Linked DNA regions of Arabidopsis thaliana. The protein of the gene in region 1 interacts with the protein of each later gene in a pairwise test. Each region holds a gene or a part of one and is shown in the gene's direction. Other genes may lie near its edges. The genes, in order: BBX17, NAC061 and AT3G11580.

The links.
Region 2: the proteins of BBX17 (region 1) and NAC061 interact in a two-hybrid assay, tested with the Arabidopsis thaliana proteins (one large-scale study listed by BioGRID).
Region 3: the proteins of BBX17 (region 1) and AT3G11580 interact in a two-hybrid assay, tested with the Arabidopsis thaliana proteins (one large-scale study listed by BioGRID).

The regions. Positions count from the first base shown.
Region 1 is NC_003070.9:18,173,820-18,178,028, reverse strand, and holds BBX17 (B-box type zinc finger protein with CCT domain-containing protein), read left to right. Parts: upstream 1-1,639; 5' UTR 1,640-2,092; coding exon 2,093-2,126; exon of another isoform or gene 2,127-2,217; coding exon of another isoform or gene 2,218-2,230; coding exon 2,231-2,997; intron 2,998-3,108; coding exon 3,109-3,288; 3' UTR 3,289-3,612; downstream 3,613-4,209. Other genes in the region: AT1G49140 (NADH dehydrogenase ubiquinone 1 beta subcomplex subunit 10-B-like protein (Complex I subunit NDUFS6)), read left to right, coding at 1-48, 299-333; CRF9 (Integrase-type DNA-binding superfamily protein), read right to left, coding at 3,613-4,209.
Region 2 is NC_003074.8:16,022,071-16,026,533, reverse strand, and holds NAC061 (NAC domain containing protein 61), read left to right. Parts: upstream 1-2,014; 5' UTR 2,015-2,046; coding exon 2,047-2,203; intron 2,204-2,557; coding exon 2,558-2,841; coding exon of another isoform or gene 2,842-2,883; exon of another isoform or gene 2,884-3,072; intron 3,073-3,413; coding exon 3,414-3,698; 3' UTR 3,699-3,959; downstream 3,960-4,463.
Region 3 is NC_003074.8:3,648,390-3,653,259, reverse strand, and holds AT3G11580 (AP2/B3-like transcriptional factor family protein), read left to right. Parts: upstream 1-1,770; 5' UTR 1,771-1,988; coding exon 1,989-2,565; coding exon of another isoform or gene 2,566-2,681; exon of another isoform or gene 2,682-3,207; coding exon 3,208-3,746; 3' UTR 3,747-4,041; coding exon of another isoform or gene 4,042-4,095; 3' UTR 4,096-4,300; downstream 4,301-4,870.

The DNA.
Region 1 (4,209 bases):
CTCGCGGCGTTGGTTGGGGCAAAGACCACCGTCCTATCTCTCTTCACGGTGAGTTTTTTTCCCGGCGTTCTCTCTCACACTGGTGAAAATGCTTAGATTGAAATTCTTAGGGTTTCGTGTTTTTTTCCTTAGCCTTTGAATTTTGAATTCAGTTACTCTTTAGTGTGTTTGATTGAATTTGATTTGAATTTGATGTAGAGTGGTCTCAAAATTCTTCATGAATACCTTTGTGAAATTGATTCTTCCTTTAGATATATGTATTGAATTTTTTTTGTTTGTATTGATTTTGTCAAACCAGGTCCTAAGCCAGTAGCTGTTGAAGAAGCTGAATGATGTTGTGTGCGTGATTGATCTTTGGTAAGTAACTGGTGTTGATTAGTTATATAGTGTGTATTGCTTAGAAGAGGAGAAAGGTTAGACTTTCTAGCATGCTTTGTGTAGACACTATCTTATAACTGGACATGTTATGTGAATCTGTTTGTGGTAGGAGAAAATTGGAATATGGATGTTTGGATAGTTATATGTATGAACTGATCAGGTCTTAGAGTGACTTAGTTTTGCGGAAGTTGTGGATACACTGGTTAATTATTGATATCAATCTGACTGCAATCACAAAGGTTAAAGCTTAGTCATGGACTTTCTTCGGTGGTTTTAGAAACAGGACATGTTTTGGAATGTATAGAAATGAAATTGATAGATCTTGGAGTGACTCAATTTTGGAGACATATGGGCCGATATTATAGATACCAATCCGCTTGCAATTGCGTCCATCTTTAATCTGCAACAGAGCTAAACCTAGTCACAGAATTTCATTGATGAATTAATTATTTGAGATATGAGATGTTGTGGACTGTATGAAGAAGGATAGAGCTCCAACATTTAGGTTTTGATTGGTTTAAACAATAGTTCCAATAGGGTTAAGGCATATAGTCAAAATCTCAAGTTCAAATTGGATTGATGATTTTTGTATTTGGTTCAAAGATTTTAAAGGTTTTTTCTTGCTCCAATGACACAGGTGAGTGAGAGCTTTGATTACCATACATGAATGGAGTCTCTGTTGCAAGTTAATGCTCCACATCAAGGTTGTTACTTGATTTATGCTTTTCTGTTTCGTAAAACATATATTACTAATTGGACTTGGGAGTTCCAATTGGTTAAGCTCAGCTTCGTTTTTCAAATGATTTATATATATTTTTGGCTTGTTGTACATTGCGTCCCTGTTTGTCGAAATAATGAAATTCCCAAGTACCTTTTTGCATGCTTGCAACTTAGTATATGTTTTTAAGACTTTATCTGATAAAACTAAGAAAGAGTTAACTCTAAAAACATCATACTTTCCCTTTATTTCAAAACTGTAGGAACATCTTTACTTCTTTAGTGTTGTCTAAATGGATTCATTTCTGAAATAGTTCATGAAATTTTTATTAACCTTTAAGTAGTAGTTCAAACATCTACGGAGTCTATTACCATATGTTAAATGGTGACAAAGACAGGTAAGGACCACAGACAAAATGAGTCAGAAAACAAAAGACTAACAAACAAAAAGATAAAACTTAGAGATGGGTAAGGAAAAGAAGCCATAAAAGACCCAAAAACATAATCCAAGTCTAACCAATAAGATCGCAAAGATATGGATCAACTTCGGTACATGATGCCAAATCATCACTACAGTGTCTTTTTTCCTTGTACAACCCAACCAAAAATGGGTATGGCCAAACTTCAATAATACACCAAGTGTTTACTCATCTCAAATTTTACTACCTTTTCTTAAGACTAATCTACTCTATATAAGTATGTTCACTAACCCTTAATGTTAAGATTCAAGAATATTAAACATGTATAGAACAAGACTCAAGGAAACTTGAGCTAAAAAGTCATTTCTAGTCCCTACTGACATAAGAAAGAAGTGTCAGTGAAAAAATCTTCTAGATTCTAAAGGAAAATGTCTTTGTCTGATCCCAACGAAAAAGATTATTATATACCTACCTAAGCAGGCTCCTTTGTCAGTGCCCATTATTCTCCATCCCTCTTAGCCCTTGTCTTCTTCATTGTCCCCTTTTTCTCACTTTAAGATCTTTCTTGTTCTTAGCCCATGACAAGTCACCAAAATATCAAAATTTCAGAAAGTATATAACCATTACTCTACTGTTTCCTGATAAACCTCCTTTTGTGCCAGTTTCTTCTTCTACTTTGATTTCTTCTCATATCTCTGTTTTCATGTTTTGCGCAGAAATTATGATTTCAAAGTACCAAGAAGATGTCAAGCAGCCACGAGCTTGCGAACTTTGTCTGAACAAACACGCAGTTTGGTACTGTGCCTCCGATGATGCTTTCTTGTGCCATGTTTGTGATGAATCAGTGCATTCTGCAAACCATGTAGCGACAAAACACGAGAGAGTTTGTCTTAGAACAAACGAGATATCGAATGATGTGCGTGGGGGAACAACATTAACCTCGGTTTGGCACAGCGGGTTTCGAAGAAAAGCAAGAACTCCTAGATCTCGGTATGAGAAAAAGCCACAACAAAAGATAGATGATGAGAGAAGAAGGGAAGATCCTCGTGTTCCCGAGATTGGAGGCGAAGTGATGTTTTTCATACCAGAAGCAAATGATGATGATATGACTTCTCTTGTGCCAGAGTTTGAGGGATTCACAGAGATGGGATTCTTCTTGAGCAACCACAATGGTACTGAAGAAACAACGAAACAATTCAACTTTGAAGAAGAAGCTGACACAATGGAGGATCTATATTACAATGGAGAAGAAGAAGATAAAACTGATGGAGCTGAAGCATGTCCTGGACAATATTTGATGAGCTGCAAGAAAGATTACGACAATGTCATAACGGTTTCAGAAAAGACAGAAGAAATTGAAGATTGTTATGAGAATAATGCAAGGCATAGACTGAATTACGAAAATGTTATAGCAGCTTGGGATAAACAAGAATCTCCTAGAGATGTAAAAAACAACACAAGTAGCTTCCAGCTAGTTCCTCCAGTAAGCGCCTAATCTTCCGAGTTCTTACAAAAATGATATTATATTGTTTCAAATTGAGAAAATTGAACCCAATCTATCAAAGAAACTTATTGTAATGGTTGTTGATTGCAGGGGATAGAGGAGAAGAGAGTAAGAAGTGAGAGAGAAGCTAGAGTTTGGAGATACAGAGATAAAAGGAAGAATCGTTTGTTCGAGAAGAAGATAAGGTACGAGGTTAGAAAGGTTAACGCCGACAAAAGGCCGAGAATGAAAGGTCGATTTGTCCGACGATCTTTAGCCATCGACTCTTAGGGAACAGATTCTCTCAGTTTCTTCTCCTTTGTGCCAAATAAAAAAAAGGCTACTCCAAAGAAACCAGAAGCTAATCAAAAGAACAAAAAAGCTCATGTGGAACATATTTCGTAGCTTTTGAATTTATCCCTACAATGACATGGTTACAACTTTATTCTTAAATCAATTTGAGAATTTAAATTTCATACTAGTAAAAGCTTCTCTTATGAGGTAAATCTCTTTATATAAGCAGTTAGTTACAAAAACCAAAACGAATTACAAACAACTTGTAACTCAAAGATTTGTAGTTTTGTACTAATACCGTTGGCCGTGTCAAGAAAGTATTCATAAAAACTTATCGATCCAATCAGTAGTACCATTAAACCAACTAAAATCATCATCCTCTGGATCTCCTAATAATCCAAGATCATCCATAGGAAAATCTTCTAACTTAAAATCATCTATCAACGGATCAAAATCAAGTAAATCATCGACGAATAAGTCCCCATTGGTCGATACGATTTTGGCATGTTGATTAACTTTAGTGTGATCCCCAATCTTAAATCCAAATGTTTTCTCCTTTCCTACTCTATCATTCTCCACAAAATCAAACTTGAAATCATCTACAATGGAAATAAATTCCACTGAATTGTAATCCACCCAAATATCATTTGCTTCAACAGCCGAATCACCAAAAATATCAGCAATTGACGATGTCATCAACGGATCTTCCAACATTTTACTAATCACTCCCTCTTCTTCATGATCAGCGTTATAACCACAACCAAATGGCTTCTGATCAGTAACAATTCTCTTATTTACCTTTTTGCAATTCGACTTCTCAGTAACTTCCTTCTCTTCTGGTTTACGTACACCGCACGGCTTGGTCAAATCTACTAGGTCTTTTTCCTGTTTAACTAAACCCAATCGTTCATCAAACTC
Region 2 (4,463 bases), on another chromosome or scaffold:
CGAACCCTTTTTTAAATATTTGATTATAGTAGTGCTTTCCGAAAATTTTGTGATGTTCTAACATTACTATAAACCCCATGACTAATCGGAAACACTATATATTAAGAAAATCATGGAACTGCTTGAAAGATTGATTTACTACACAAGCATGAAACCTTAAAAATTTTCAACCAATAAATATTTATACAACTAAATTTATTGTATACATATAAAGTACACAAGTATGAGGTCTTGTGGACCAATTAGTCTTAACGTTCACTGCTCGTGGAATGTTTGACACTTGCACTTAAGTTATTGGGGTTTCTTTTTTCTTTCTTTCGATACCATTTAGTTATTTTTTTAATTCACTACTTGTACGGTATCACCTGTTAATTGAAACTTTTCAACCGATTTATTATCTTTTGTTCACTCTTGGATTAATGTTCAGAAGACCGCACCAACACTTATATCTCACCTTGCCTTGTCTCTTGACTTCTTGGTTCATACTTCCTTCCAAAACTTGTCTTGTTCGTGGAAGCCTTTTGGCACAAAGTTATGTCGATTTTTGTTGTTGTTATGGTCCACTCCAACAATAAATCTGTTAAATAAGAAATATTTTTGACAATATAAATTAAATAACAAGATATTTTTACAATAGCTTTTTTTTTATTAATGGTGTCAATTTGGATTTGGAGCTCATAGGGCCTAATCCATTTACCAAGAACTATTGAATTTTTCTATTAAAAAATAGTTGTTCATACAGAAATTTGGTTAACCACATTCTCTTGAACTCTATAAGACTAAAATTAAATCATAGAACTCTAAATTCGGACACTAACCCTTAAAACTTAAAAAATCTTAAAACCGAAAGTAAAAACTATGAATTATTTATTCGATTTGAAAAGATTATTATATTGGCATCAGTTTATTATTTCTACACAATATTATTCTTATATTTTACTTCACACTAAAAATCATTGATTAATCAACTACTATTCAATTCAGGCATATTTAAATTATTCGAATAATGTCTTCAACTCTCAAATTTTTTTAATTCTGAATAGGTATGTGGATAATCATGCATGTTTGTATCACACAATACATATTTTGGTTTGCCTATTATTTTTCTCGTAGACTTGTTTAATATGCGACATGATAAAACAATTGTGTCGCATAAAACAATTAACAATCTCTTTCTCTATAAAAGGCGAAAGAAATTTCTTAAACCATAAATTTGAGACTAATAGCTGATTTCAAACAAAGAAACGTCATAGCTGATGTAAAAAAACAGTACCTCCACATCCCAATGTGTCAATGTGATACCCCGCCTAACGACTCCGTACAACTAAAATGGTAGTAGTATTAATTTCCTTTAATGTTTTTTTTAGCTTAAGTAGCTTCGGCGGATTGTATTAATCCACAACATCTAAAACTAAATGCCACTAGAATGGATGATTTATGCTTTGAACTTCAATAATATATATAGCTCATCCAAACCTAAAATGTAGTAGACCAAATGATCGAAATTCAGCAAAAATCACTTGAAGATGATTTTACCTCGTTTCAAATTGTAAAATGTAAGATCAAATATATGCAATATTGATATTTACTTTACTTCATTTATCCATATATTTTTAGTAAAAAAAAACTGTAAAATCAAATATATTTATATGATTTATTATTTTCTACGTTTCTACGAAAAACAGACATTCATTGAGGTAACAAAAAAATAGGAGGATATAATAAAGAATATTAGAAGAAGACTAGTAAGAATAAACCTTGACTTATTCAATGATAAAGTACGTGGTTTGTGAAAAGCACTCACTGTCTCACGTATAGATGATAGAAATGGCACGAAATTATCACAAAGATGGGCCCGTGTCCAATTCCCCAACAAAATATGAAAAGACAAGTAATAATACATGAACAAAAAACTAAAGTCCAAACGCGTAAAACTTTTCTCATTTCACTCGGAGAAAACTAATCTCTACTTGCACCTATTTAAACTCATCATGAGTCCATGTGGTTTCACTTTATTCAAGAAGCAAATTTGTAACACACCAAAAAATGGGAGAAGAGCTTTCTGTAGGGTTTCGGTTCTATCCGACCGAAGTAGAGCTCCTTACGTATTACCTAAGAATCCAGCTTGGTGGAGGAAATGCCACCATTCATAGTCTCATACCGATCCTCGATGTGTTTAGCGTTGAGCCTACTCAGCTTCCAAGTACGTATGCAATCATTAGCTATATAAATAATGTCGATGATATATTTGTCGTATATATGTGTAGTCTTTCACTGTAGAGTTTTCCTTCTTGCGTTTCTTGAGTAGAGTAACGTGACTAACGTTATCTTGAGATTGTATGCATGAGATTTAGGTTTGTGTTTCTTGATTTCGTGGTTAATTATAAGTTACAAAAAAAAACTTTACAAACAATCACATTTCTAAAATTAAACAATTTCATTTTCGACAAAGTTTAACTTTACATGTAATTAAGGAAAACGTATACACATAAACTGAGGATTTACACAAAAAAAATTGAGAGGTGTGTTATTGGTTTGTGTGTTTTTTTGTTTGTAGATCTTGCGGGAGAGAGGTGTCGAGGAGATGCAGAACAATGGATTTTCTTTGTGCCAAGACAAGAGCGTGAAGCTAGAGGAGGCAGACCAAGTAGGACCACTGGTTCAGGATACTGGAAAGCAACTGGTTCACCTGGACCCGTGTTCTCGCCGGATAACCGAGTGATCGGAGTAAAGAAGACGATGGTTTTCTATACCGGAAAAGCACCTACTGGGAGAAAGACAAAGTGGAAGATGAATGAATATAAAGCAGTTGAAACAGCCAGTGTATCTACCATCCCAAAGGTGCATAATCACTTCTTTAAAATGAAGACTTTCATCAAATAATTTTTCTCAAATATACCAAATTCTATTTGTGGGATTCCAATATAAAAATAACTGATGTCTCAACACCTTTTTGGACAAGCATGTGCAGTGAACTAGCAGAATAATCTTTAATACAATTATTACAAACAGAGATTATTAAAAACGAATCACCCTTTGATTCATGTCAAAAATCTTTATCATGGTTATTTTATATCTCACATATATAATCTTGTCTTACATATATCGTTGTTTTCAAAAGTTATATATGTGGTAAAAGAGTGTGCGAAAAATTACATGTGTTTTTAAGTATTTGAAACTATCCAATTAAATATCATGCATACATAAATGATAAAAACCAAAATATTCATGCATGCATTCTTTTGTCTATTGGTTATATATTAGAGTTATAGAATTTCTACCATCCCTATTAGGGATTCCCTAAGATGCATAATGTTATAATATCTAAGTTACTGATAATATTTTAGTAAAACAATAGTTAAGCTTTCATTATCAAAACAGGTTCTAACGAAGTTTGTTCCTATTCAATATAGTTGAGGCCCGAATTCAGTATCTGTCGAATCTACATAAAGTCAGGAAGCTCGAGAGCCTTTGACAGACGTCCCACAGAAGCTTATGCGATAGAGAGAAATCTTCCTAGCAATGGAGTTGAGACATCATCTCGTGCCACAATATCAACCTCACCAGAAACTTCACATTCAGGAGGAAACCAAGTTGATTTACCGGTGAATGCTACTACTATTACACAAAGCATCTCAGATATGGTTGATGAGCTATCGCAACCTTTTTGGGAGTGGGAACAAATGAATTGGTCTTAAACGTATTAATTTACTTCTTATGTTCATTTGTTACTAAATATACAATAGAAGATAAGAAAAAAAAAGAACAAGTCGTCAGATTTGTGGCAACTTTTGTTCTTTTCAGTCGCCAACTAGTAGTATATGACCACGACATTTTTAAGCCTAACCTGATTATTAGGCTAAGCTTGAAGATTCATTATTTTTCACGCAAGTCTTTTTTCCTTTATTTTCATGTGTACCTTTTTTTTTTTTTTTGCTTTTTGTTTTGAATGAGTAGAGAATTTTTGAAAGGTTAGTTCTACTTGATCATGGAAGATATTTAGATTACTTTGCATGTATTATTCTTAAAAAAAAAAAAAAAATCGATAGAAATTAGCTTCAATCAATTAGATCAGTCTCACATTCAATATAAATCCGCCGACACTTATTGCACTTTCTTTATTTCCATTTTAGTATTGTATGTGTGATCATTTTAACTCTCACCATCTGTTTTAGAGGTGTTCTTATATATATAGAGATGTGATCTCTCATTAGATCGACACAAAAAGACAAGGATGACTGAATGAGTATAAGCATCTCAACCGGGTCATGTCTTTGATCACGTTGAAGCTCTTTGTTAGTCGTTCAAACTTCTGTCCACGAAATAAAAACTGTAAAACAATTCTTAGATTTTTTTTCATTATGTTTGCAATATAGAAAGAACACATGAGACAAGAAAACATTTTTTTTTAAATTAATTTATTGAGTGAGGTGTACATATTTTGAAATATGGCTTATGCTTTA
Region 3 (4,870 bases), on another chromosome or scaffold:
GTATCACTAGTCTTAGTTTTGCGAGAAAATTAGGAAAAATAGAAACGTGTAAGCACCAATGATATTCCTGAAAGCACGTGACAGATATTTCATGATCCTATAATTAACAAGTGATAAAGATATTAAATAAAATTAACGATACTTGAGAAATTCGTCAAATAAAATAGAAGAGGACCACTCACGTAACCATTTGCACGTCCCATTGATTTTTGTGGTAGACTTGGTATGTTATATTACTTATATTCACAGAATTATATACGAAACTCACGACTTAAGATGCACGGTAATAACTACAGATGGAAATTTACCCATCAAACAAGAAAACAACATTTACTCAAGCATCTAGCTAGACCAAAATGTTTGTTTACTTGTTGACTTGCGATCCATAGATATATTAGTTAGAACTTTTTCTTCTACAATTGATCAAATGTTTCACACTGTTCTCAATTTCTCATCTAGATTCATGACTTATATGTTTGGTCAAATATCACAGCTTGATGAGCATTAAATAGCGTCGAAGTATAGGATGGTTACGTTGTTCAATATTGTAAAGGAAAAAAAGAGAAAGAGTGCCAAAAGGTCAAGTCGATTTCACAAATAAATCTTGAAGTCTTTATCCCTCTCGATTATAAAATGATTAGGAAAAGAAAAAGAGAGAATAAAATGTAGATAAAGAGAAAGAGAAAGAGAGAGAGGAACATAAGGGATGGTATGAAGTAGAAGTGAAGATGCATGCGATGGTGTGTCGGAAAGGCAAAGCACATGCTACACAACTTGAGCTTCTCACTTGCGTCAGGGATAAGTATCCTCTGTACCTTCTTACTTTTGCGTAATATGTACCACCTCACTTCTCAACCGTTTGATCTTTAATCCTTCATTATTTCTTCATTACCTTCTCTTTTTGTTTTTGTTTTCGTTTTCAATTTCTCATAGATTCATTTACAAACTAAATATCATAGGAAGGTGTTATCTCTAGTTAATTTCTTATCCTACTTTAACAAAATTTAATTGTCAAAAGATTATTTTTACGTTTATAGACAAAAGATACTGACACATCAATTCCACGAACCAAATGGTTGAGAAAAACAAAACGACTATCTTTGTCTTGCAAATAAATTAATGGCAGTTAGTAAGATTCTCAGCTGAAAATTCATACAAGAGTAAATGATCAAATAACCATTTATGAGAGAAATTTAATCCTTCAGAAACCAATGAGGATCTGATCAAGTAATTGCAAACCACATGAGTCCATGATAAAGGATTGTTTGACTTACGCAATCCACATATTTATGGCTGCTTGATATGTAAGGTTTATCTGCTTTGACAGTCTATAGAATCTTGCTAATCAATACGTCATATCCGGTGAATACTGAAACTTTTTTAATTAAGAAAACACAAATCATCTTTTCTCCGGAGGATTTCGAATTTAGTTCCGGCAATGCTGAAATAACATATGTTGAACTTATAACATTCCAAGACATCAAATTTTACTAATATATAAATAATTACATATTCTTCTTCTACATGATCAAAACCTTTTCAACTTTAATTAAAGGGTTACGTCGCGGCGTTTTGTGTGGCTTACTCTTTTTTTACACTATAACTATAGAACACTCGTGGATCCAATGCCGTTTAGGACAAGATTTTATCAGACGAGAAAAAAAAAAACAATACCACATTTTTAAATATATATGGATTATGGACTGCAACAACAATATAGAAAAGAAGAGAAAAAAATAAAAATAATGATTGAAAGGAAATATCATCACGCAAAACCTTAAAAGTACTATCGGTATCGTGTCGTCCTCTCCTCATCAAATAGTTCCCACAGTTTTCACATCAATTTAACCATTTTCAATTTTTTTCACTCTCTGTCTCTCTCCTTTGTATAATACTATATTAGTACCATTACCCATCTCTCTTTCACCACCAAACCAACACCTGCAAATCCTCTCTCTCTCTCTCACTCCAAGAAACCAAAAAAAAAGATGTCAGTCAACCATTACCACAACACTCTCTCGTTGCATCATCACCACCAAAACGACGTAGCTATAGCACAACGAGAGTCTTTGTTCGAGAAATCACTCACACCAAGCGACGTCGGAAAGCTAAACCGCTTAGTCATACCAAAACAACACGCCGAGAAATACTTCCCTCTCAATAATAATAATAATAATGGCGGCAGCGGAGATGACGTGGCGACGACGGAGAAAGGGATGCTTCTTAGCTTCGAGGATGAGTCAGGCAAGTGTTGGAAATTCAGATACTCTTATTGGAACAGTAGCCAAAGCTACGTGTTGACCAAAGGATGGAGCAGGTACGTCAAAGACAAACACCTCGACGCAGGCGACGTTGTTTTCTTTCAACGTCACCGTTTTGATCTCCATAGACTCTTCATTGGCTGGCGGAGACGCGGTGAAGCTTCTTCCTCTCCCGCTGTCTCCGTTGTGTCTCAAGAAGCTCTAGTTAATACGACGGCGTATTGGAGCGGCTTGACTACACCTTATCGTCAAGTACACGCGTCAACTACTTACCCTAATATTCACCAAGAGTATTCACACTATGGTAAATTCAAACCCTTTATTTCCTCTTTTGTTTTTTCTTTCTCTCTTATCTATATGTCAGATTTATACTCCTCTCTGTTCTCTTTTAAGATTTGTCTTTTTCATAAAAATAGATGATTCGTAATTTGTATTGCATATTTACATGTTCTCTTAAAAAAAGTAATAGAGATTAATATTTTATGCATGGTATTTTAGATTATCTGCCTACTTTATATGGTAGTAAACAAGAACATTCATCTTTATTTGGTTTTATAAACAAAATATGAGAATTTTTAAAGGTTAGGGCAAGCACTTGGAAAGCTCAACCATTTTAGTTAGCTGGTGGAATATCTTTCTTATAAAAAGCAAATGAGTTATCTAAAACTATATGACAATTATTTTAGTTGCGTGTGTAATGTATATAAAATAACAACATGAAATAACATTTTGTCTTTTATTTTTGTCATTCTTATTATTTAATTTTGGACCCGACAATTTCAAATAATCTTCTCCAAGTTGTAACTAATCCGTTACATGCGCGTGAGGAGAACCGTCCAATCCACTTAGACTAACGTGCCCTTTATTTCTTCCTTTTAATTCTATGTTAAAAAAACAATTTAACTAAAAGATGCGCACGTGTCTTGACGGTGGAAAAAAATTGTAGGCGCCGTCGTTGATCATGCTCAGTCGATACCACCGGTGGTCGCAGGTAGCTCGAGGACGGTGAGGCTTTTTGGCGTGAACCTCGAATGTCATGGTGATGCCGTCGAGCCACCACCGCGTCCTGATGTCTATAATGACCAACACATTTACTATTACTCAACTCCTCATCCCATGGTAAATATTTTTTTTTTTTACATTTTTGTCAGATTCAAATTTTTGCTTACGTATGATATAATTATTAAACAGATGTCGTGGCTGTTTCTCGAGACGAGACAGATGAAAATTAGTAATTTTAAAATAGACCTGAAAGAGATTTTTATGTTTAATAAATTATATAAAGGAGGAATCAGAGAGAATAATACTATACACTTGACTGTAAAACCACATGGCCAATTTGGTTTTTATTTGATTACTTTGATTTGTTTTGTTTACTCTTTTGTCTCTGTAGCCTCCTTTTGTTCATTAATTAATATCAGCCGTAAGTATATAGTTTCCTGTGAAAACAGTCTCTATTTTGGTTTTACTATTCTAATTTGTTAGGCACCGTCAGTTTTTTTTGTGAAACCAAATTATTGACTAATAAGCTGGAAAGCAAAACTGACTAAAAGCATTACAAACTTATCAATGACATAAGTTTTGAATTTATTACCATGTTTTGTAATGTTCAGATATAATTTGAAATGCTTAGAATTATATATTTGTATACTTAAATTAATGAAATAAAGTGAATACTAAAGATAGTTTTATTTTTCATATTATTCTATACAATTCGGTGTACAATTTGTTTTTGATGATAATAAAAATAATAAAATTGCGTGTTGGAATTGTGAAACAGAATATATCATTTGCTGGGGAAGCATTGGAGCAGGTAGGAGATGGACGAGGTTGATGACTGACATTCAAAAAGAAGTGACAACTTTCTAGATTTTTAACTTTAGAATTTAGATTATGGGCCCATACTTGGCCCAATTGTCATAGAGAAAAAATGGACAAGAATTAATATTATTAGTAGCTTCGTTATGTATTTAGTATTTAACTAATTTGAAAATAAAAATAAAAGATGAGATTTTGTTTCTATTGTACATTTGAGTCAGAACAGAAAAAAAAAGTATATGCAAAAGATGTGAATTAGTGTGGGTTTATAGTAGTTGATATTTGAAGGCTAAAATAAAACCAATGAAAGCTTTCTATAGCACAAAAGTCATTTGAGGGCAGGTACCCCAAATTGGTGAGCTAGGCCTAGGCTAAACCTTATACACATGTAGCATGTATTTGATGATGAAAGATGAATTGGGAACTGTTGAGAGATTCATGTGAGGAGATTACGAGAAGAAAAGGTGTGGGCCTAATTACGAATGATTAAAGAAGAGAGAGCATATTCATATATAGCATGTGTGTAAATATATAGGTTGTGTTACATCGCCTTTTATCTCTTTTCCAAAGCCAAAGCCAGGGACCATTTTATTTGTTGCTGTGTTACTTACACTCTTCTTTTGATTCTCTATTTTGTTTTTGCATTACAAAGACAGTGTAAAAGGAATATGAATCATTTTTACAAGCTATGACAAAAATGGGTTTAGGTCCCAATTCTTTCTATGCATTTATGTTTGTCTTCGTGTTTCTGCATATATATGAGTGTATTGGTAAATGGTAAGTGGCAACAC